Linked DNA regions of Drosophila melanogaster. The protein of the gene in region 3 purifies or fractionates together with the protein of the main gene of each other region. This does not show direct contact. Each region holds a gene or a part of one and is shown on either strand. Other genes may lie near its edges.

Region 1 (8,407 bases), on a different chromosome or scaffold from region 3:
CTCCACCACTCCGTCCGTCGATTTGTAGAATCTCTCGTAGGCCGGGCCGTTGGCATATGAGATGGACGTGTAGGGCAGCTGGTCCACATTACTTAGCTCGGAATTGAGTCCTACTATGCTGTTGTTAACATCCGGATAGCCGCTGATCGTGACCGTGTGTCCGTGATCCGCACTCACCACAATTAAGGTGTCCCAGGGATTGGTGAGTTGTCGTGCCTTTCTCACTGCGTCCGAAAACTGAACGGTTTCATCCAAGGCCTTCTTGGCCTTGGTCTCATGATGGGCGTGATCGATTCGACCGCCTTCCACGAAAAGGAAATACCCGTTTGGATCTCGGGAAAGCACATTTATGGCCGCTGCCGTCATCTCGGGTAGCGTGGGTGTGTCTATGCTGTCGTCCATGTGGTACGCCAAGTGAGAGGCATTGAAGAGCCCCAGCAGGAAGTCAGTGTTCTGCGCATCATTGTTCAGGAGATCCGTACGACTAAACACCACCCTAGCATTACCCGGCTTTGTTTGTTGCCATTCCTCAATGAGGTTCCTATTATCCAACCGCTGGCCCTTGTTTCCGAACACATCGTTCGTGGTATTGGGCAAGAATTTAATGGTTCCACCGCCCATGACCACACGCAGTCGCTTGCCCACATCTCCGTCTATCAATTGCTGGGCGATATCCGGACAGTTTCCTGGATTTTGACCCAATTTGGTCACGTCGTAGTCGCTCTCGAAATCGCGATTCGAAGTGTGCGCATAAACTCCGGCCGGACTGGCGTGGGTAACCCGAGTGGTGGTCACCAATCCAGCGGATTTGCTACCTTTAAGCGCCCAGGCGGCAATCGAGGAGAGCCTATTCTGCGGCAAGCGCGATCCCCTGCAGTCGTTCAACTCCACATCGGCTGTCACTCCGATGGTCAGATAGTTCGCCTTGATCCCCGACAGATAGGCCGATGCTGTGCAGGCGGAGTCAGCCACTTGCTTATTGACGCAATAAGTCTACAATGACAGAAGGGCGTAATTACTGTCTAGTTATTAACGGACTTAATAAATTTATTAGCAGTTTATTGAGATAACAAATGACTTCGTTGACTTCTAAGTACCTTGGACAGACCGACATAGTTGAATTTCTCGAACTCCAGACGATTCCGTTCGCCCACCACTCCACGCAGCTGTCCATCGAAGATCCTGCCTGCGGTTACCGTGGGAACGGACATACCGTCGCCCAGGAAAAATATGACATTCTTGGCACGATATTGGTTTGGTGGAGTGGATAGCTTATTGTAGAGCGTGCGCTGGGCGTCGTGAAACCAGAACTCCTTGCTCTTCAACTCGGAAATAGAGTCGAGGTCCCAGGATTGCTCTGAAAGTAATGCGATTTTAGCTTATTTCATTATAAATTAAGAATGCATATTATTCTGATTAATTGAAACCATTTTTTGTTACTAGCCGATATGCATACACATTTCAAGTACAACCTCAAGAATTTATCAATTCCAAGCACATGTTTCGTTTTACAAAACAAAAGCACAGACACAATTGCCATTGTTTTCCACTCCACTTTCGAATTAATCATTAAAAAGGGAAATTGCTTTCAGAAGATAGCACATAAATAAAACACCGAAAGAAACCTATGGAAATTAAGCATTAAAATTAATTCAAATTTAAATTTTAAAGTATTAGTCTTATATCCACTTTCGTTAAAACATTCTCCTTCGGAAAAAGTGATGTTTGACAGCTCTGTTAGCGGGTGTCAAATATTTAATTCAATTTACGAGTATTTTGCTGACGCCTTTTATACTCCGTTTAGCACTTGATTAATCAATTCTGCATATGTTTTGAGTTTGCTTTCGACCTGGCACACTCTCACTCGTTTTTCATTTATTCATTTCGGGTCTTTTGGGCCCGTTTCTGATCTCGGTCTTGACGTTACGCACCTGGCCCATATTTGTACTGGCTGCTACAGGCCGTGAGTTGGAGGGCAAGAGCCGCAAAGAACCGGAGAGCACGCATCGCACGGAATTTTGATGAACTAACTTTCGACTGGTCGGGGCGTTACGAAGTCTACGGATCGACTAAGCCGCATTTCGCAGTTGGAGGCTTATTTATACGAGCCCGGTAAGACAGGGACCGAAAATGCGAGTCGAATTATAAAAAAACACTGAGACAATAAATTAAAACCCGTCCCTGTATTATAAAGCTTCTAAATACACCTACCAACCGGAATTTCGGGATGAAAGAAAGGCATTTATGCCCTTATTCAAATTATGCAGCCAGCACAGCTTAGATTAAAATGATGTTCTCCAAAAATCAGGTTCGTTGCATTGGTCATTTGCATAATATCTTGCATCGCAGTAGGAGATGATGTAATTAGTGGATGCATCGAAGCAGCCTAATTCATTCTGCGATCTAAAGTTCATTAACCGTGCCAAACACCGGATACTGATAAATATCTCCAATACACTAATTTGTAACGTTAATTTGAATTAAGTTGCTTTTGATTTTTTTTATAAACGAGTTGCACTTATTTTGTCTACCAGTTATTTGACTTTTTTAAGAAAAGTAATAATCTTCAATTTTATTTCTGCTAAACAGGTTTCAAATACCCTGAGTTGTACAATGTTAAATTTTAAGTTTTGAATAACATTCTGGGTAAGCAAAATAGTTTTGTATACCTACATTATTATTAAATTTGGTATGAACATATTTATTGAACGGAAGGAAAACTGTCTAAAATTCGACTTATTTGTTTTATAAGGCATCATTGTTGGTCATTTTCATTTCTATACGACATTTTCCTAATCTAACATTTTAATTTTGGAGAAAAAGTGCAAAATAATAATTTATAATTTTGAATAATAACATTAAGCAGTTCATTTTAGACATGGATCGATTTTCAATAATAAATCTCAGGACTTATATACATTTTCGAGACAAAATATAGGGGGAAGAATATAATTAAAATGCAGTTCTATATATCTGCTATTTGAATGCCGCGCCAGATATCGATATAATTGAAGTGCTGTAAAGCGTAGCAAGGAAGTGATGCTAAACGCATCACGCGCTAAGGCACTTTTGGGTATTAGTCGAAAGTGACTTTCTCACAAGTTGGCAGTTCCATTCCAATTGTTGTAAAAACCTAGCTAAAATTTCAGTTTTGCGAACATTCCGCCTACTTAAATCAACAAATTTCAGATTGCGAAACGCGTAAAAAGTGCGAAGGAAATGCTCTAAGATCAAGGTCACCGGCGAAGGTCACCAACGACAGCTAGGGCAACCACAAAAGGTGTGTGGCTGTGCAGCAAACAAAGGGAATGCGAATTGCAAACATTCCGACAAACAGACAAACTAACAAACAAGCACGAATATAGAATATAGAATCAAGAACCTGGCTGAGACGCATAAAAGCGAATGTGATATAAGTGGGCCACGGGGCTAATTCGATTGTCTGTCTCTCCAGGAACAACTTGTCTCCAGCGATAACTCGAAGGTCATCAAAGTGTCTGCCTACGAAAGCATGGACTTACAGCATATGGAGAATGGTCTAAGCGGCGGGGGAGGAGGTGGCCTAAGCGAAATAGATTTCCAAAGGCTGGCCCAGATTATAGCCACCAGCATCCAGAAGGTGCAGCAGAATGGTGAGTGGCGTCGAAGCACTTGCCAACTTTCGCCTATGACTAATCTAGGTTTCTGTCTCTTTCGCAGTGTCCACGATGCAGCGCATGGTCAATCAACTGAACACGCCCCAAGATTCTCCGGAGCTCAAGAAGCAGCTGTAAGATGATTATCATTACGATCTCTTCGTTTGGAATTTAAACTGTCCCCATAGATAGAACCCATTGCAGATATACATCGATTATTCGAATATCTCTCAGACAAATCATAAATTCTAAAGACATAGTGAAGATCTCTATTGGGTGTTTACTCACAATGTCTAAAAATCTTCTTAAGCCAATACAGCCTTTTAATACATTTTGCGCACATCAACCGACCACATAAACCAACAGCAAAATAACATTGTAGTCAGTCATTGGTTTTGAAAGTTTAAACGTATCAGCACAGTGTGATTCACAAATCAAATCAATGTATAACGCACGATAAAAATAACAATCCCTTACTCCACAGCCACCAAATAATGACCTACACCAACCAGCTGGTGACCGACACAAACAATCAAATCAACGAGGTGGACAAGTGCAAGGAGCGCCACCTGAAGATCCAGCGGGATAGGCTCGTGGACGAGTTCACGGCGGCACTGACCGCCTTCCAGGTTTGTTTTTGTTCTCCCAGATAAGCAAATGGTTTTGTGAGTCATGCTGATTGTTTATCATTGGTATTTTTAGTCTGTTCAGCGCAAGACGGCGGACATAGAGAAGACGGCGTTGCGGCAGGCGCGCGGAGATAGCTACAACATCGCCCGTCCACCCGGCTCATCGCGTACCGGCAGCTCCAACAGTAGCGCCAGCCAGCAGGACAACAACTCCTTCTTCGAGGACAACTTCTTCAATCGCAAATCAAACCAGCAACAGATGCAGACTCAGATGGAGGAGCAGGCGGACCTGCAGGCCCTCGAGGAACAGGAGCAGGTCATACGGGAGTTGGAGAACAACATCGTGGGCGTGAACGAGATATACAAGAAGCTTGGCGCCCTGGTCTACGAGCAGGGACTGACGGTGGACTCCATCGAGTCGCAGGTGGAACAGACTAGCATTTTTGTCTCGCAGGGCACGGAAAATCTGCGCAAGGCGAGCTCTTACAGGGTAAGTGCCGCCCCTACAAGGTTATTATTTTAAATAATTTAAATATGTTGTTTATTAGAACAAAGTGCGCAAGAAGAAGCTTATTTTGGTGGGCATCCTGAGCGCCGTGCTGCTGGCCATCATCTTGATACTCGTTTTTCAGTTCAAGAATTAGAGCCTTCCGGCATCTCCGAATGATTCAAACCAAACTAGTAAATTGTTGTGAAAAGACAAGAGTTGCCGCATGCAGGCCCCTAAACCCCGTAATTCCCCACCCAATCCTTTGGACCTTAGGCGAGATTATGGCTTTAATCCTTAATCCAACTTCCAATACTGGCTGAAATCGAAAACTGCGACTCGTAGACGAAGATATAGTGTTTTGAGGAGTATTCACCGGCACGTGCATCTGTTATATTTGCTTTAAAAACAATTTTATATTTTATGTGTACTACTTTTATTATTACGCACCCTGTATATTGATTATTAGTATTGATTAACAACTGTTGGCTTCAAATTCTAATTATGTTCCGAAACTCATTCGCCAGCGCTTTGTATTGTATTGTATTGTATTTAGAGTTAAGAGGCAGAGGAAGCCATATATGCGATGGCATACACACATGTACGAAAAATGAAATAATAAACATGAAAATCGATCCTGCGTGCGTTGAAAACACTTGGAGCACTTCATTTAGGGCCCGACCTGAATGAATCAATGAATGGAACTCGCCAGCTCTTCTGGGCATTCGGAGAAGTGCATGGTCATCGACTCCTCCTTGGCTTAGCGATCATTAAGATTTCGTGTTGGCCATTGTTACGCATGCTTTAGCGGCTTAGGAGCTCCCATCTCCCGACTCCCAACCCGATCTCGATCCCAAAACATTGGTACCAATCCGACTATGTGTTCAGCGAGCGCACACTCTCCGATGGCACATTAATGCCGCGACAGACCTGGATGCGGTGGACCCACTTCAGCTTGCTGCATCGTTGAGGTGTGTCAGCCGGGGCTAAAGGGTTTCCTCGTCGCCGGACCCCATCTTCCTCCACATTTGAAATTCCAGCTCCGCAGGCCTGCATACAAATTGAGTTTAAATTTTTTGCCAATTCACTGACATTGATAGTTCGTTTGGGCATCATTTGTGTGGTGGCTTCTTATCCACTTGTTGGCATCGAGTGGTTTTCTCGCATGCATTTAAGTGCAGCTCATTTCCTTCTCGAACTCGCCCCGGGGCTCGCCAACAATCATTTCCCGCCAAGTCATCCAGTTTTTTCTGGCCCAAGTCGTTTCGGATCTCTGCCCTGTGGTTCGCGGGGTATATTGAATCATTCAGGAGAGTGGATTAGGTATTTCAAATGGGGAAAAGTGTGTTATTTTCAAACTAAAAGGTGAGTAATTACTATTATAATTGTGGTAATGATATATAATTTATAATGTTATTTATTAAATCGCTGTAATATTTTCATGTTAATAATTGGCCTAATCTGATTCTTAGATATATTTGCTGGTAAATTTAATTCTTTTACCTAAAATCGTAACTATTATTGAGTTTAATTTTCAAAATATTTCTGAGTTCGCAGAGTATCTGAAAATGCCCCTGAGGGAATTCTTACCCATTTTCTGGTTGTTTCTTTTGGTCCGCTTGGCTGTCAGTGGTTGTCCAAATACGTCACCGAGCTGCCCGACCAAGTCGACTGGGAATTATTGATTACTCGTCCGTGGGGCCAAGGGTTAGGCCCCGATTGTTGCACGGGCATCACGGCCTAATCACATCGATTATGACTACATGCGGCACTTGGCAGGTTGGGCAGTGGACAAACCGGGACCAAATCCCGACCCGGGGCCATGGGTCACGTTGTGAGCTCGAGTGGCGGAGGTGTTGGAAATTAAGAGAAACTATGCACACCTACATGGCCCACGGAAACACAGCAGGTAGTCAGTCGTCCGGCTGTCTTGGCCAAAAGGCTGCTGTTTGCATAGGCCGTAGTCGCTAAACCTGGAACCATGACAATATTGACATCTTCGGTGGTCGACGGACATAGCCACCGAATCTCATTTGCAAAGTCATTTTGTCCAAATAAATCCAGCCTCCGTCTTTGGTGATTTTCCCAGCATAATAATGTGCGACCGAACACAAGCCGCATGTTTTGACTTTGGATGGCAGTGGAACGTAGAATGGCCAGTGGAAATTCCGGAACTTGGTAAGCGCTGGATTGACTTACCAACTTGCTAGCCAGGATTTTGAAATTTCTGGTCCTGGGAAAATTGCAGTTTAGAGGGGAAAACTGTGAAATGGCAATCGCGCATCTTCCGGCTCCTAAACCCCGATAATCCCTGCACATTTCGCACGTTGCTTTGCAATCAGTTCCCTTCTACGTACATATAACTCTGATGATTGTAGCAATGATGAGGTTGTTGTGCGTGGTGGATAAACATCCGGTTTATGGCATTTCCCAAATCAATAAACTTATTATTATCCCATTTCCAACTCTACCAACGCTACCGCGCCTCCCATTTTATTTGGAAAAATTCTTAATTACGCGTTCTTATGAATGGAAGACGTAGTGGCTCGATTCTTCTGCTCTTACAGCATCTTAAGTGGAAATACTTGCCGTGGAGGGCTGTAAATCTTTTGAATTTTTATTAAAAACAAAAATACCAAATCAAAAGTTTCGTTTGATTGTTCCGTTTTCACCTGTTAAGGGGGCAGCGGGGGGTACAGCACCTGATGCCCAACACTTTCGACAGTTTTATTAATGAAATTCGCAGAAAAAGCTTCCCACAGATGTGCTGCCTCTCTTTTTCACTCGCCGTGGTTTTCCACCATGTCAGTTTTTCCGTCATACAGAACAAAAAATAATTCCTCTTTATAAAAAGGAATAATATACCTAAGTTAAGGAATAATTTACATCTGTAATTCTACCAAAAAGTGTCCAGAAATAAAATGTTGTATAAATCTAACATGAATAATATAACTTGTGCGCTTCAATTAAACTCTTCACTTCGCTGCATATAAAATAAGTGAATAAGTCGATGTAAGACTAAATATGCATTTTCCTGTGTAGCTGCGAATTGATGAGCTACCCTTGGCGCAGCAAGAACGCCAACCCCCCTTTTCTCTAGATGCTGCGCACACTTCTAAACAAATTGGGTGTCAAAAAGTGCGCACATTTCAAAAGATTTAACCGATTTGCAGGCACCGCTTGCTGCTCTTTGATCTCAGCCGCCCAAACGGCAGACGCCGCCGGTGCCCGTTTATGTGGTTGCCACTGTGGCAGCACAGTGGAGCCTGCTGCCGCCGCTCGCTCAGTGGCGAGTGCCCCACCAGAGCACAGTGGGCAGTACGCCTTATGCCATACTAGATTTGGGTACTCCAAATATCAGACAATATCATTGGGTCAATACAAAATGTATCTATTATCATTTACAGAACTTGTCTATAATAAAGATAAGCACTTGACTTTATGCCAGCCACACAGATGGGATTCTGGGGAAATACTTCAACGAACAGTAGGACTTGGTAAAATCGTACTAAAAGATATTTAAACATATCATCAACAAATCGTAATCATATTATAAATCACACAAGGCTTTAGCATGTTAAATGACTCTTGAAGGGATTAATACATCTATTTTTCTAATAACTTCTCTAGATAATGATCTACGATCTTACTTTGTG
Region 2 (7,259 bases), on a different chromosome or scaffold from region 3:
TTTCGAGCCGCAAGGATTTGGACCAAAAGTGATAGGATTTGGCAAATAGTCGGGGCAGCATCACCTTGTGTCGCAGGACCTTATACTAATGGCCAGCAAAGTGGCAGCGGAAAGAAGGAGCCGCAATAGGCGACGCTTAAGCGGCTTATCCTGGCGAAACAAGGGTGCGACTGCGACTGCGACTCAGGCACGGAGTATTAAAAAGGTACAAACATATGTATGTATATATGACTTTTGCTGGCCAAATGTGCATACACTTAAGTCAAAGTCAAACTGCGGTCGTAGCCATCAATGCACATCTGCGTTTGACCAAATCAATGTCGAACAGACCGGCAGTATCGCGGCCTAATTGCGAAATATGTACTTCAGTTTGGGCGTAGCTGTTGTTGATTTACTTCCCGTGTGGCTGACGCAGGATACATGCTCGCCTTTGAGGTCCTGGCCCGAATCTAAGCTCAACTAATTATAACTTTGGTGCAATTCGTTCAAAACCTTTGAGGCCCTTGCGCGTGTATTCGCGTTTTCATCTCGCGCTCGTCGTCGTTTTCGGAGCTACCAAGGCTACCAAGGATCTCCGAGGTGGGCGGTGCGGCTGAAGTGGGCGTGGCGCAACTCGAGCGGCGAGCGCTTTTAGGCGATTTTGCTGGCAAAATCATGTGCAGCCAACGGCTTCGAGAGTCATTAAGCTTATTAAGTGGGCGAGCAGATAACCCAAATGAGTGCATGCCAAATGAAAGCCAACGCAATTTGCACTCATATCGCCCACGAATTCCTTGCACTGTTAAAAAAAGAAGGAACTGAGCTCAGCTGGTTGGCGGATATATGCAGTCCCAGTTTCAAATGCCTAAATGCCCAGATAAGTGTATCAACAATTTGGACACCGATCGAAATGAAAGGAGTAGGTAAATTCTGATGCTATACACAATTATTTTTTAAAACGTGCATCGTTAACTGACTCGAAAAGTTTCTGGTTAATCCACTTCTTACTATAACCATTTGTAAGTTTGTATCAAAATCAAGATTTTTACAAAGAAAATAAACACTTCAACGTACCAAGTTTTGAAATATTCAAACCACATCAGTGTGTTGAATAACCCCAAAACAAAAAAAAAAAAAATATTTAGATAATAGAAACTGGATCTCAATGGAGTCTGCAATATCCGAATAGATAGCAGATGCTAAGTATGTATGTTTTATATATATATAAATTGCATCTTCAATACTCCGTAGTTCTTAAGCAAGTTTTGTCCAGTGTACTTATTCAAATAGCTCATGCTCATGGAAAAGTTTCCCAAGAGGCCGGAAAAGGGTCAGGAGGTGGAAGAGAAGAAATACGAGAAAGGGCGTGGGGAACCGGAAACGGAGAAGATAACAAACAAATTGCCAGTGCAATTGCAAGCTTGAGATTATCGCCTGCCTGCGGTGGCCGCATTACTCGCTCTTAACTTTACTTAACTCCACTTTGGCTTACTTAACTTTGCTTCAAGTGCAGGCCAATAGGAGGCATTGCAATGGCCTTCTTATCGCTGCGGTTGATGCAAAAGTAAGTCCCATTGCATCCCCAGAAACTTTTAATGGCTGCGAGAGGAGCGCCGCCTACGCTGACCACCATTAATCTGAAAACCTAATACCCGCCTGCGGCTAAACTTCAATTTACCCGCTTACTCGATTGCCATCTTTCGATAACGATTGGCGAGCACAGGCCTAAAAGCTAGCTGCTATGCCACGCAGGACACTCATGGTTTCCTTTTTGACATTAAATTCACTTAATAATATTACCTTTTCGCATTCTAATGCCGTTCCCCAATTATAAACGAATTTATATTCACACAACACATACATATATGTATATTTATATATTAAAAAGTCACATATACATATGCACATACTCCACGTCGACCATCGACTATCGGATACCCATTACTAAGCTAAAGGTGTATGAGCTATGTATGTATACCTTTTTGCGTGCCTCTTTTGCGAAACTCTTTCAATTACCGACCTTAACTGGTAAAATAAAACGGCTCTTCTGAACTATTTTGTGATTTATTTTTATAGTGATTTATTTAATGGTTCGTTAATGTCCTGTATGGTTGAGAGACTCTGAGGAAGAGACATTGGTCATTAGTGTCTGAAAAGATATGTATGATTGAATATGTGTAGAATGAAGGTAATTCCTCGTGAGACTTGTTTACCAGCCCTGAGGACGCTCTAGCTTTAGTCGCTTAGCCAACGGATTCCCATCTGGATTTTGCTCTGAAACCGAAGTTAAATACCCAGTTGGGTCCTCCACGGGAAACGTTCGCTTCTTTACGTCCAGCATGCTAATGAAACTATGAACTTTATGTCAGGACTCTCACCACGAATTACTTCAACTCACAGCAAATTGCTGCTGAACAACAGCTCATTTAGGCGCTCGTGCTCTTCGCGCGAAGGACTTCTGTTAGGCTGCTCCATGTCCAAGATCGAGTCCATTCCTGCCAGCATTGCGATCACGCTAGCTTGCAAGTTGCCATCATTGACAGATGCCGTCTGGGCAGACTTATTCACTGTATTGGATGGCAAACCCTTAGTCATCGTAGACTGATTGCCCATCCACTGATTGAATCCACGCGTAAACTGAGGCTGCAATTCTTCCGGAATATTCCGGAGGAAATAGGAATGGGATTCGTTGTTCGGATTTGGCATCTTGAAGTTCCGTTGTGACATGGAAATGGTTTCTCCGGTACGGGTTCTAGATGTGAACTGAATTCAATAGGGACCAAAGCAAACCAAATGTCAAAAATAGGCTACCTTTTGATTGATTGAAAATGAAAGGGTTGCATTTAATAATTATGCAAAAATGATTTATATTTAATTATATTATATATATTATAAAATTATTATGATATATTTAAATTATATTTATCCCACTCGTCTGTAGCTGATTAACAGTTATCTGAATATGATTCCAAAATTAAGATTAAGTATATATGTACATATATACTGTTATTATATATTAACAGTATATATATAACAGTATATATATACATATATATGGGCCTAACAGAAACCATTATTCCTTTCGGTACCCTTTGCCATCTTTTGAGAATTTACATTGTGTTGTTCTATATGACAGTGACGTCACCTTATAGCTTTAGGCTGTACTTGAATTATTACTTTTGAAACAGCAATAATTCAATGAGTGATCAAATATGAATTCGCACTTCAATCAGCCTTCAAATCCAATGATGTTTCTTATCAAGAATTCAGGCGTATTATATTTCGGAATTCTACATTCTACATACTTTTTAGCCAGTGTAGAATTGTACATACGCATTGGTATTTTCGTCGAAATTCAGTGGTGTGGTATTCAGCTACAGATGTATTTGAAATCTCAGATTCGAGCGCGGTCACACTGAGCACGTGGAGCAGACAAAGCAGCTGGATTGAGAAATTATTGGAAACAACGCAGTAAAAGCACAACAGATTGCACCATGGAGGCAGAGAACATCAGAGCAGACGCATTCGAGCCGGCGAAGAGAGCGACGAAGCGCGGAGCCAGCGGAGGCGGGCAGCAGGACGTGGAGATGCAGGTGGACGAGGCGACCGGCATTGAGGGCCAGGTGCTGGGATCTTCGCGAGCATCGGCGCCGCCCAAGGCAAAGCGGGCCAGAAGCGAGCTGCGCAAGGTATCCGTGCCGCCACACAGGTACTCCTCGCTCAAGGAGCACTGGATGAAGATCTTTACGCCCGTGGTGGAGCACATGAAGCTGCAGATCCGCTTCAACATGAAGGCGCGCCAGGTGGAGCTGCGTGTGGGCCCCGAGACGCCGGACATAGCCAACCTGCAGCGCGGCGCCGACTTCGTGCGCGCCTTTCTCTGCGGCTTCGAGGTGGACGACGCCCTGGCCCTGCTGCGTCTGGAGGACCTGTTCGTCGAGTCGTTCGAAATCAAGGACGTGAAGACGCTGCGCGGCGACCACCAGTCTCGCGCCATCGGCCGCCTCGCCGGCAAGGGCGGCCGCACCAAATTCACCATCGAGAACGTGACCAAGACCCGCATCGTGCTAGCCGATAGCAAGATCCACATCCTGGGCAGCTACCAGAACATTCAGCTTGCGCGCCGGGCCGTCTGCAACCTAATCCTCGGCTCGCCGCCCAGCAAGGTGTATGGCAACCTGCGGGCAGTCGCCTCGCGCCTCTCGGAGCGCATGTGATTGGGAGAGCGGACTGGAGTGGACTGGACTGGAGTGGAGTTCGACTTGAGAGGGAGTAGTTGCGGTTTTTTTTTTAGCATTAGCAATAAATAATAAATATAATAACATGTATTCAAACATTTACAATATACACAAACACACACAGCGAATGACGGGAATGAGGTCGGCCCACTGGAGGCGCGTGGGCAACTAGAGCTTGGTCAGGATGAGCAGCAGCAGCATGAAGAATGTGACCGCCGCCAGGACGAGAATGACGCACATCTTGCGGTTCTTGCGCTGATACATTTCCGCCTTGTGCAGCTGGCGCAATCCCTCCGAGACGCGCGTCTGCGTCTGCTCCACGTTGTAGTCGATGCGGTCGAGCACAGTGCCCTGCTCCTGGACCATGTGGCCCAGGTCCTTGAAGATGTCGTTCAGGTCGTAGATGGACTTGACTATCTTGGTCACCTCCTGCTCGCGGTGCTGCGCCACCCGCGTGTTCTCCTCCTCGAAGAGCAGCAGCTGCTGTTGGGTCATCCGGCTGGCCGGCGGCCTTTGGAAGTGATCGTCGATGGCCTGCTCGTCGTCCTCGAACAGATAGCCGTTGCCGGACTTGCCCTCCGCCGGCGGCTGCAGAAAGTTGTCGAAGGAGTCGACGAAGTTCTCGGCGCTCTGCTCGCCCAGCTCCACGTTTGTGAAGACGTCTCCAGCGCCAGCGCCGCCGCCGTCGTCGAAGTACTTCTGCGAGCGCTCCTCGCGGGAGTTCAGCTGAAGCAGGTAGGCATTCTGGCTGGCACGGAACTTCACCGTCAGCTCCTGCAGCTGGAGCAGGGCGCAGTGTACCGCGTTGACCGTCAGGCACTGCTCCATCTTGCTGCCCACGCCGATGCTGCTGCGCACGCACTGGATGTGCCGGTGCGTGGAGGTGATCAGCTTGGAGACGATTTGGCTGAGCACCTCGATGTCGCACTCGTCGTCCCGCTGATCATCGAAGGCGGGTCGCAGGAGGTGGCGTGCGTGCAGGGAGCCCAGTTCATCCAGCTTAGGCTTGATCCTGCAAACGAGTGATGGGAGTGAAGTTGAACCCTGCGCATGGACTACTGTTTGTTTACCCACTTAGACATGGTGTACTGCGCCTCCTCGAACTTGTCCAGCCAGGCGGGCGGCGTGCCGTAGTCGTCCTGCAGCTCCAGTCCCTCCTCCGCCTCGCGCACCGAGTGCTTTAGAAGGCGCTCCGCATCGCTGCCCCTCTGGAAGACGGAGAAACGCAAAACATATGTTAGTTGATGATAACAGTGAAGACCCCAGACGGAGACGCACTCACCCGATCGTCGTAGTGATTCCGGTTCTTGGACGCATTGTTGCGCATGATGACGAACACCTCCGTCAGGTTGCGCGACGTCATCCTGGCCGTCTGCTCCCGATTTCTTGGGGATTGGAAGGATTGATCCAAGTCCGCTGAAAACTCAATCAGATTTTTTCCAGTTTCGTTTTGACACAGCAGCGCAGTGTGCCCGCTGACTTGCTCGCCCAGAATACCGATAGTCGCCACGACGAACTGGTCACCCTGGCCTGAACGCACCGTTACATGTCCGAGAATTATACTTATTTTAAATATTATTTTCTTATTATCTGTAGAATCTGTACTTTATATGTATACTCCTAAACATCCTATTTGCGAAAGTGATTTTTTCAATATACGGATTGGATAGCTCCAATAGAAATATTCGGAAATTACAGAATATAGTATTGCTTTGTTGAGTTTCAACAATTTATAAAGTTAATTCTGTACACACCGTCACGTAAATTGAAATGCAATACTTTTAGCAATAAAACGACCGTAATAGTACAATAAAAGTATTCAATAATTTGTTATGTGCGTTCTCTTTTTTTGCGTTACGAAAGAGTAATATAACCGAATGATATTGTAAATGATTTTAGAATCAAGTACATTTTAGGCTAATGTTTAAAAATTACAAATTTACAGAATTTTAGGGAACTCATTATGAGTTTGGCTTAACGTTTTCTAATAGCCAGCTTCCACTGTACTGGGTTTTAATCCGTGACACAAGCCTGTGACTTAAGAACACTGAAGAGCTATCGAAAGGCAAAACATATCGATGGCTCGACCCCCTGATATCGATTACTTGATAGCTCAGTCAGTTTGCACCTCCCCCTGATATCGATTGCCATCAAACAATTTTATTTCATTTTAAAATAATTCCTTGATTTCAAATTGCATTGTACTGGTAACTGGCACTTCCAATTGTGACCCGAAAGCAGCAAGCGCGGAAAACGGAGAGTTCAAGTGCGGGTGGAAAAGTCAGGATGTCATAACTAACTCCGAGCGGAACAACGAAATGAGCAGTGCGGACAAGGATAACAACGAATTATCCTGATCCTGGACGCCCGATTGCAGTTGTGTGTGTGCTTGCGCGCGTGTGCGTGTGCTTAGTGTGTGTGCCAGTGACGACATTGACCCGCCTTCGCCCCCGCCCCCACCCGCGCTCCAACCCACCACCACACCCCCCTTGAAGGGGTAACTGTGCCATGCCATTGTCGTTGTTGTGGTTGTGGTCGAGCTCGTTTCTAGCCTGACTTCGGCGGTGGAGCACTAGGGAAGGCAACACGAAAACACAAACATGTTCAACCGCCAGGCGAGCGGAGGAGCCGGATCCAGTGGCCAGGGTGCTGGGTCCAGCCAGACCGCTTCTGCAGCACCAGTCTCCGCTGGAGTTGGAGTAGGAGGGGGTGGAGGTGCCAGTGGAGCAGCGGCAGGAGCAGGCTCCGCAGCAGGATCTGGATCGGGATCAGGTTCCGGATCAGCAGCACCGCCCAGCCATTCGCCCGATCTCTACCTGCGCCCGCTGCCCTTTCTGGACGCCAAGTGGCTGCGCGCCGATCTCATCGCCTCCCTGCGCAACGCCGCCGACGGCGCCGTACTGTGGAACCATCTGATCCAGGACTGCGAGCTGGTCTCGTCGCCTACCGCGCCGCTCCTAAATGCCCGCGGACAACTATCCTACCTGGGCGACGATGGCAAGCACTACTGCGGCGCTCAGCAGCTCAAGTGCTCCTGCTGCC
Region 3 (8,298 bases):
TGGACTAGGTTACCAGCTGGAGCAGCTGCAGGAGCACCCGGAAAAGAGCAGCGAAGCTAGCGAGGATTACGCCGATCTGGAGTCGGATTTCATGGACGTGCAGAAGACCCATCGGCAGTACGAGAGGGAGCAGCAGCAGCATCGCGACCGCATCCGTCAGTTTATGATAAAGCACAAGTATTTCCGAGACGCCAAGTTGCCCAATCTCTTGCTTCATGCCGAAAAGGAGCAGATGCGCCTGCTGCACGAGCGAGATCCCGAGGAATGGAGCGTTGAGCGATTGGCCGAAAGTTTTCCCGCCACTCCGGACATTGTGCAGAAAATTCTGCGGGCCAAGTGGCGACCGAGAAGTGTGCAAAGGATACGCTCCCACGATGAAACCGTCATTAAAAACTGGCAGCTTTTAGGGACGGGAAAGGGTGACTTCAGTATCCCACCGTCTCTTCTCCAGCATCTGCAGAAATTCGCCGAGCGAAGGTGGCAGGATCTGCGGGAGCTTAAAATCCAGGATTGGCCCACAAAATCACAACTACCGACTCCGCAAGGCAACGAATTCCGCAAACTGCTGGGCAGCAGTAGTAAAACAACAGAGGAGATGCCTACACCACAAATCCCATCCGGCTATGAAGCTCCACCCTCTGCTGCCGAAGATGAAACCTATTTGTTGGACAAAATCCGTAATAAAAAGAAGATGCGGCTGCAGGAGCTTAAGGAATTGCAGCTCGTTGAGTCTGCGCCCGCAGTTCCAGAGGAAATGAAGCGGCCCATCGAGAATCCCAGTGGCACCGGATTCCTGCCCAGTTTCGTGCCCAAGTTTGCGAGCAGCGAGATTGTGATCAGTGCCGCGGATCAGCGCAAGTATGAAATAACCCAGGTGAAAACACGCATTGTTATTCCCCGGAAACTGCATCGCCAAGGAGCCACTTACCGGGTGGAGGATGCCTATTACGATGACGATGGAGAGCTGCTCTACCGAGTGCCTGGAATGACCAGAGCCAGTGGTGATAAATAGCAAATGCCACTTTTAGGTAATATTTATTCGAAAAGAGCATTGTTTAAATTGTAAATTTCGAAAATTGTTAATCACAAGCTTTGTCATCATTGTTTTGTATAAAAATATATAAAACATTTGATACACAGATTCTTAGTTACTTCATGGTCAGCGGTTGAAGGCGGTGGCGATCAAATCACTGCCCGCCATTAGAGAGTCGGATGCCACGGTTATTTGGGCGCCTGTTAGCTTTGCCACAAAATCGCAGGCGGCGATTTCCGCATAACTGGCACCACCCACAATGAATACAAAGAGATTCCTGAGACGCAAGGGGAACATATCCTGATCTGCAACTCCGTTTAGCTTCACTTGGCTGGCATAGGCCTTGGGCGTGATTTTTCCGCTGTCCAGGTGTAGATGCAGCCCCTCAATCATGCCCAGCTTCGAGGACAACTCCTCAGCACTATTGATTTTCAGCAAAATGGAGCAGAGCTGAGCCACCAATGGTATGTAGGTGCCATTGAACACAAAACTGGGACAGGTCTGCAAGCCACTGGATTGGCTCTTGGAGGAGGAACCTCCATCCTGACCATCTCCACTGGAGGTCAACAGCTTTAGCCGATTAGCATTGGCCTGAAACTCCGTTTGCTGGAACTTGGGCAGAGGTAGATTTGAGAGCAGTTTCGTTGGCGCCTTTTTCTCCACCACAAGTGGTGGCAACAAGCCCGCCTGCGACAACTGCTGGAACACGCCCAATTCCTGGTGTCCAAACAGATTGCAGTAGTTCCGCGCAAATATCTGCAGCTCCTCGGGCGCCACGCCAACGCAATGATGCAAGAGGCACAGCAGTCGCAGTGTATTAAATCTCTGACCATCTGTGGTCAACAGCTCGTCGATCTCGCTTAGCAATCGCTTTCTTGAATCATTGTTTAGTATGTCCTCCTCCAGCGTTTGGAGCTTCCTGAAGTTACCCATCATTTGGATCACAATCTCGCTGGCATTCAGATGCCTAAGGACTTTGCTCTTAAGCTCGGTTAGTTTGGGTAGCTTCCTGGCCACATAGTCATGCATCTCGTCCAGCTGCATGTCATTGAGTTTCTGCAGTTCCAAGCCCAGGGCTTTTACTTGTGCGTGAATCAAACTGCTGACCTGAGCAAATCGTTTGTACCGATTATCGCCGTAGATCTCATCGGATGTGGAGTTAAGACGAATGGAACACGGCTTGCTGGCTGAGTTTACGCCTATCTTGGATTTCTTTCCCTGGAGTAACTCCACACGCTGGCTGCGGATCTTGTTCTTGGAATTGTCTACCAGAATCTCGCCAGAACTATGCTCGAAAACTTCCAAGAGAAGACCTGCATAGATGGCCGGAGTGAGCAAGCTGGCGGGGTAATCCTTATCCCGATCGATGACCAGCCAGCCGCCATAGTCTGGAGGATTTGTGGGCGCCGGAAGTTTGCCAAGAGTCTTCGCCATTTGCATTAGCTGCGACGAGTGGTGGCCAAAGCTCAGAATCAAAGACGGTTGTCCGCAAATCATCTGAAGCAATCGCAGGCTCTGGGCCACCGCAGGCAATGGAGATGTGTTCTTCTGCAGGTAGAGACACTCGTAAAGCTGAATAATAAGAATATCCAGTATAAAAGACTCTTTTCTGAATGTTCAATGTACATCTACTCACATTGGGCAGCTCCAAGCTGAGAACTCCCTGATCAAAATAGATGAAGTCCCAGTTAAAGTGATGAAGTTGCACCAGTCCGTACAAACCAGCCTGTTCCAGCAGGGTTTGAAAATAGGAGTAACAACTGGGCACACAGACTATGTGATACATTTTCATGGAGATGTCGGGCATTTCCTCTGAGGCCACGGGTTGCAATTGCTTGAGAAGTGTCTGAAATGTACCCAAAACACTGCGGATCATGTAGATGTGCACCTGATCGGCGGATCGGGGCAAAGATTGTGCCGCATCATGTTTGTAGATCCGTTGTATGCCCTTCAACCTGTTAAGGGGTATATATAAGACGTAAATATCCATAAAATATGGATTAAACACCTACTTCAGCCAGGAGGCAGTGACAACATGTTCCAGTGGCTTTATCAAGTCGGGCTCCAAAATTAACTCCTTCTTTCCAGGTATGCTACATAGTATGGAACAAAGCTGCAGTCGAATTGCAGGTAGTTAATAGTTTCACTCTTCCGATTCATTATTATACCTTTTCTTGTGCCACCAACTGGAATCCCTGCAGCTTTTTGTCCAGCGTCAAATCCATTCTTCGCCGCACAACACAAACAGCTGATGCAGCAAGGTAGCAAAATGTAAGGTGACGCACGCAAAATAAAATAGGGTTGTCACAAAGCAAATATATGCAGTTTTTATTACGTAAATGTTTATCGCAGTCAAAAAAGCAGTATTACTAGTTATTCTATACAATACATTAAACAAAAGCTATACTCAAATTAATTATTTTGAACTTATGCTACTACTGACGTCACAAAGTGTTGAGTCACCATTAAAAGCATTAATTGTGCACAGTCTTAATTCCTGCCGATCCAAAACTTATTTTCAAAGTTCGAGCTATCCGGTTTGTTAAACAAAAGTACTTAATCTACTGCTCAGTTTGATTGCATACCACTGTGCGAAGGCTGTTCGCTCACGAACTATCGAACCGGTTCGCCATGCGTTCCCATCTTTAGACGGGTATTTAAGCGCGATTCGCTGCAAAAGTGGCAGTTTCGTTCCAAATTCCGAAGCGAGAGTTTGTCGTGGGAAGTTGTTGCGCGCGCCCTGTTCGCATTTATGTGTTTTTATCGTGATTCCGTCAACCGAAATCATATGTTTTTAGCCAGGAGAGAGACGATTGCCAAAACAGCAGCAAAACGGGCGGAGTTCTGCGGTGGAAAATCGAAAATTAGCAAGCGCACGGAACACACTGTGATTGGAGCGAATTAAATGTGAATCAAAATATGGTTAGCCATTCGAAAAGCGTGTAATAAAATCGTGAAGAAAAACCAGAAAACAAATTTGTTATCGCTCTCTGTCTCTTTCTCTCTCCCATTCTCGCTGCGATTTGCTCTCCGTGTGTTTATGTCTCAGCTGTCCAAGTGTGTGTGCGGGTGTGTGTGACGTATGTGCGTGCAAGTGTTTGTGATTTTATGTTGTTGTCTTGCCTGCTTTCGCGTGAAATTCAACAACAACAACAACAGCAGCGGCAGCAACAACAAGCAAAGCAACAGCCAACAACAAATTTAAATTGAGATTTTCCATATTATCAAAAGTTACAGGCGCCTATTTTGCAGTTATCAGGTGAGCTTGCACTTACATTGTTTATAAATAATTTGGGTTTGGCGCATGTGGGTGAAACTGTGCAAAAATATGTGAAATATTTAATCTAATGACAAAAATAGCCGTGCGGTCTGGTTTGTTGTTGTTATTTTGGGCAATTGCAGCTTGTTGCATGTTCTCGTCTTCTCTTTTGTGCCGCAGATTCGTCTCTTTTTTACCGCTCTCTCCTTCTCACTCTGTCCTGCTTGCAGTTGTACATTGTTGCCTTTGTCAATCATTATCTTTGTGTTTTCGCTTCGTTCTGTTTTTGTTTTAGTGGCTAACATTATTTTCTTATAGTCCGTGTGTGTGTCTTCTTCGCGTTTTCTTTGCGGTTCAATTGTTGTTGCGATACCGGTTTGAGCAGCTGTCTCGCTCGGGCACGCTGCACAGGTTGCTGTTTAGATTACTTTTAATTTTTCTATTCTTTGCGCTCCCGTGCCTTCTAATCGCATCTTCTTCTTCGTGCTCATCTTTCTAATGCCCGTTTCTTATTGTTGTTGTTCTTGTTGCCCCTCCCAATTATGCTTTATTTGTTTGTATTTCCCTCTCTCCCATTAAAAATAAGTTTTTGCCATGGGTTTTATAATTTATTGGCCTTTCGATTTATTTAAAAGTTTAATTTTTGCCCAGACTGTTCAACTTTTGCTAATTGCCTACAAGTTTTAAAAGGTTTTTAAGTAGTTTAGCTTAGAACAGGTTTTGCAACAGTATGTTTTGTTAGGAGAGTCACGTTAGAATGTTTCAACTATATATGATTTTTTTTAATATTTATTGTTTTATAATTGAAAGCATAAATAATGTAAAATTTGCGTTCATATTATTTTTCTTTTTATAATTGTAGGTTTGCTCTCGAAAGTGCGAGAAATTTTAAACATGAATCATCATTTCAGAACTAAACAAATCTTAAGAGATTTGTTTGTATTGCATAAAATACAAACAATTTGATTTTCTTGTGCTGAAATTAGTATTACTGCTTAGTTTCACCATTATATACTAGATATAGAAAAAATCATTAGGATCCGCTTTAGGAATAAATCTAAAAGCAAGTTAATTATCTTTACTTGAAATGAATTTTTATTCCGACTAATGCGACATTTTATTATTACTCATAAGAGTGGTTAATCGTTAGTTGGATTAAAGAAGATGTGGATTCCCGTTAATGGGAAATTCCGCTGAGTTTATCGAGGCCATCGGCGTTTCTCAATTCGATTTCCAGTCCGAGATGCGCTCTTCACTCGCTTAATAAAAACAATAATAAGCTGAAAGCAAAGCAAATCGAAATAATTCATTTGCATTTACATAGGTAAATAAACAACACCATCACCCGAAGGTGATTCCAATCCCAATTCCAATCGCACCCCCATAAATTCTCTTGCCAAAGTTCGGCACTAATTAAAACCTGAAACAAATTACACATCTACGGGAGAAGAAAACGAAACAAGAACTCGTGCAAACAGCAATGATTTTGAAAAAGAAAGCAGAAAGCATTTTTGCAACGTGCGTTGCTATTCGTTACCCCCCACCCCCTCCAAAAAATTTACCCAATCCCCAAAAAGATTCTCGTTTTGGTTCGCTGTGTGGAGGAGGCGTGTGAATTTTCGTCGGTTTGATGTCTGTTTTTGCTCTGCTCATTTCCACGCTCACACATCAAACCCAATTAGTATTGTTCTTCTGTTGGCATATGGCAAATATTTCCATTTGTCTGTTTGTACACATATAAATTGCTTTGTATTAGCTTCGTTTCACTCTCTTTTTCGATCTCTGGTGTTTGGCGTAAGTCTGTTTAAAAATGTAATTATTCCCATACTTGGCGGGTTCTATTTTTGGGCAGCATTTTCGGTACATTTTGACACATGTGTGTGTTGGAAAAATGCGATTGAAGTTTATTCTTACGTTTTTTGAACATTTGCCAATACTGCGTCGCTTTTTAGCTGATTTGTGTGCTAGTTTGGTAACGAATTCATTTTACATGATTAGGTATTTTTAATTTGTATATTTCTTTTACAATATTTTTAGACCCAAAAAGTGAGTACATATATGCATGTACATTTAAAGAAAAGTGAGTGCTTTATTTTAGCACACTCATCAAAAAACCGCAAACAATCGCGGCAATTCGCACTCATGCGTTTCTTTACGTTAGGGTGACTCACTCGACTCACTCGAAGACAAGACAAGTAACAAAGAATTGTTCATTCTACGGCATTCTTCGCTCTTCGGCTTTCATCATTTCTTTGGGACGGACGCACTGAGCCATGTTTGTTTTTCTTGCGCCGAACCAGAATGGCGAAAGTGAACCCAACTCGAGTTGGGAGACACAATGGATATATGTTGGGGATGTAGAATCTGGGATGGATGACTTGCTCTGACGTACAGATAGTGTTTGTGTGTGTGGTTTGCCTGCCTTGAGCAAAGTATTTTGGCGCGTGTCCAAGTAGAAACAAAGAAAAGCAACGAAGGTGCGGCAAATATAGCGAATAAATCAGCAAATCGTTACTTGGCCACTATATTCGTGGAACTGAGCCTAAGAAATATACTTGAGAAGTATCTAAACGCTACAGATGAATTAATACATGAAATACATTCTCTAGCACATTTGTATATTTTGGAAAAACGTATATTTGAATGAGGAAGATGTGTTTGAGAAACAAGATTCAGAACAACTTTAATTTGTGCATAAAATTTCAATTTAAACTGATAGATGGCGATATATTTGATTTTTGCTTTTGCCTATTCGCAATGGCCAAAATCAACTTTGCACTTATTTTTAGAATAATGTAAATACAAACAGTCGATAAAATAAACAACTTTGATTAGAGGTCATTGTAAAATTTTCGACTTTGGCCGCTGGAAAATTGCGAATTTAATTGGAAATTCGGGGAAAAAATTTATGCAAAGCAGCTAGTCGGCCATTAGGTTAACTTGTTTCGACACGGCCAATTCATTTGAAGATCCTACATACCTGCCCACCATTTCACACCAGCGGCTTTCACAAGTCCGGGGTTTTCACATCCTCGTCTTAAGCGCGCTGCCTAGCCGAAAAATGACGGCACTCGAGCGCAGATGAAAAATCTTTTGGTTTGGTTTTTCTCGCTGGTCTGGATTGGCTTGGTCGTGCAATCTCCAGTTTAGTTCCCTCGAATTTTCTCACCTTTCTCAGCAATTTGAGCGCGAGGCAACGTGCCACGCATAGCTGAGAAGGCGGAAAAGCGTTTGACGCAACTCCGTCTCAGCGTTTTCCCACTTTCCCTCGATCTGCCTGCCACACGCCCCCACCGCCGTCCTTTGTTTATTCGGTTCAGTTTGAATTTCCCGCGATGTCGCCGGCCAAAAACAAAAAAGGAAAACAGAAACCAAACAAAAGCGGAACCAACTAGTTAAGTTAACTCTCTTAGAAACTGCCGACATACAAAGAAGACCAGAGATGTGGGAATTTTAAACCTCGCACCGTTCTCCGGACACCAAACTCCGGACAGAACGGACACCATACCACGGACAGCCCAGAAATTCAAGCGTTTTTGGAGCTTTAACAAAATAAGCATTGTTATTAAGCTTATTTATTTAAAAAATAAAATTTCTAAATACTATAACCGAGAATCTCCAGTGTCAACACTATTTGCCAGAGTTCTTTTTTTTTTTTCTAAATTAACGAGGCGATGAAGACAAAAGGCTAGATTTGAGCAATTGAAACGAGCTGAACTTTTTATTTTGCACTTTGACTCAGCGGAAATTTCTTTTGTTTTTCGTTTGGCTAGTTCCTGGAGTAGACACCAAAAAAAGCTACAAAAACACTTTAAATCGACCGGATATTGCAAATTTTACGTTTCTTCTGGTTCAATGGTCAGTCGTTACTTCTTGTGCAATTCTTTGTTGATTCTTTCTCTGATAATATTAGTTACGATTAGGATTGTTTTATGTTCTCCACTTAACAGCTGAAAATAGAAAATATAGAAAGAAAAAAACATTTTTACTCTTTTTATGATCCGAA

The links.
Region 1: the proteins of Vps33B (region 3) and Syx7 purify together in Drosophila melanogaster (affinity purification with western blotting, with the first as the bait; one study listed by BioGRID). This does not show direct contact.
Region 2: the proteins of Vps33B (region 3) and Syx16 purify together in Drosophila melanogaster (affinity purification with western blotting, with the first as the bait; one study listed by BioGRID). This does not show direct contact.

Annotation. Positions count from the first base shown.
Region 1 is NT_037436.4:21,442,744-21,451,150, forward strand, and holds Syx7 (syntaxin 7), read left to right. Parts: upstream 1-3,090; 5' UTR 3,091-3,280; intron 3,281-3,417; 5' UTR 3,418-3,511; coding exon 3,512-3,632; intron 3,633-3,699; coding exon 3,700-3,769; intron 3,770-4,119; coding exon 4,120-4,264; intron 4,265-4,337; coding exon 4,338-4,754; intron 4,755-4,812; coding exon 4,813-4,908; 3' UTR 4,909-5,385; downstream 5,386-8,407. Other genes in the region: Alp1 (alkaline phosphatase 1), read right to left, coding at 1-993, 1,098-1,357, 1,932-2,007.
Region 2 is NC_004354.4:20,388,063-20,395,321, forward strand, and holds Syx16 (syntaxin 16), read right to left. Parts: upstream 5,690-7,259; 5' UTR 5,581-5,689; coding exon 5,500-5,580; intron 5,426-5,499; coding exon 5,292-5,425; intron 5,230-5,291; coding exon 4,386-5,229; 3' UTR 4,272-4,385; downstream 1-4,271. Other genes in the region: jb (jean-baptiste), read right to left, coding at 2,128-2,128, 2,193-2,321, 2,378-2,706; l(1)G0004 (lethal (1) G0004), read left to right, coding at 3,474-4,196; HERC2 (HECT and RLD domain containing protein 2), read left to right, coding at 6,818-7,259.
Region 3 is NT_033777.3:25,468,476-25,476,773, reverse strand, and holds Vps33B (vacuolar protein sorting 33B), read right to left. Parts: upstream 3,285-8,298; 5' UTR 3,259-3,284; coding exon 3,202-3,258; intron 3,147-3,201; coding exon 3,046-3,146; intron 2,989-3,045; coding exon 2,670-2,988; intron 2,606-2,669; coding exon 1,160-2,605; 3' UTR 1,018-1,159; downstream 1-1,017. Other genes in the region: CG4553 (uncharacterized protein), read left to right, coding at 1-1,012.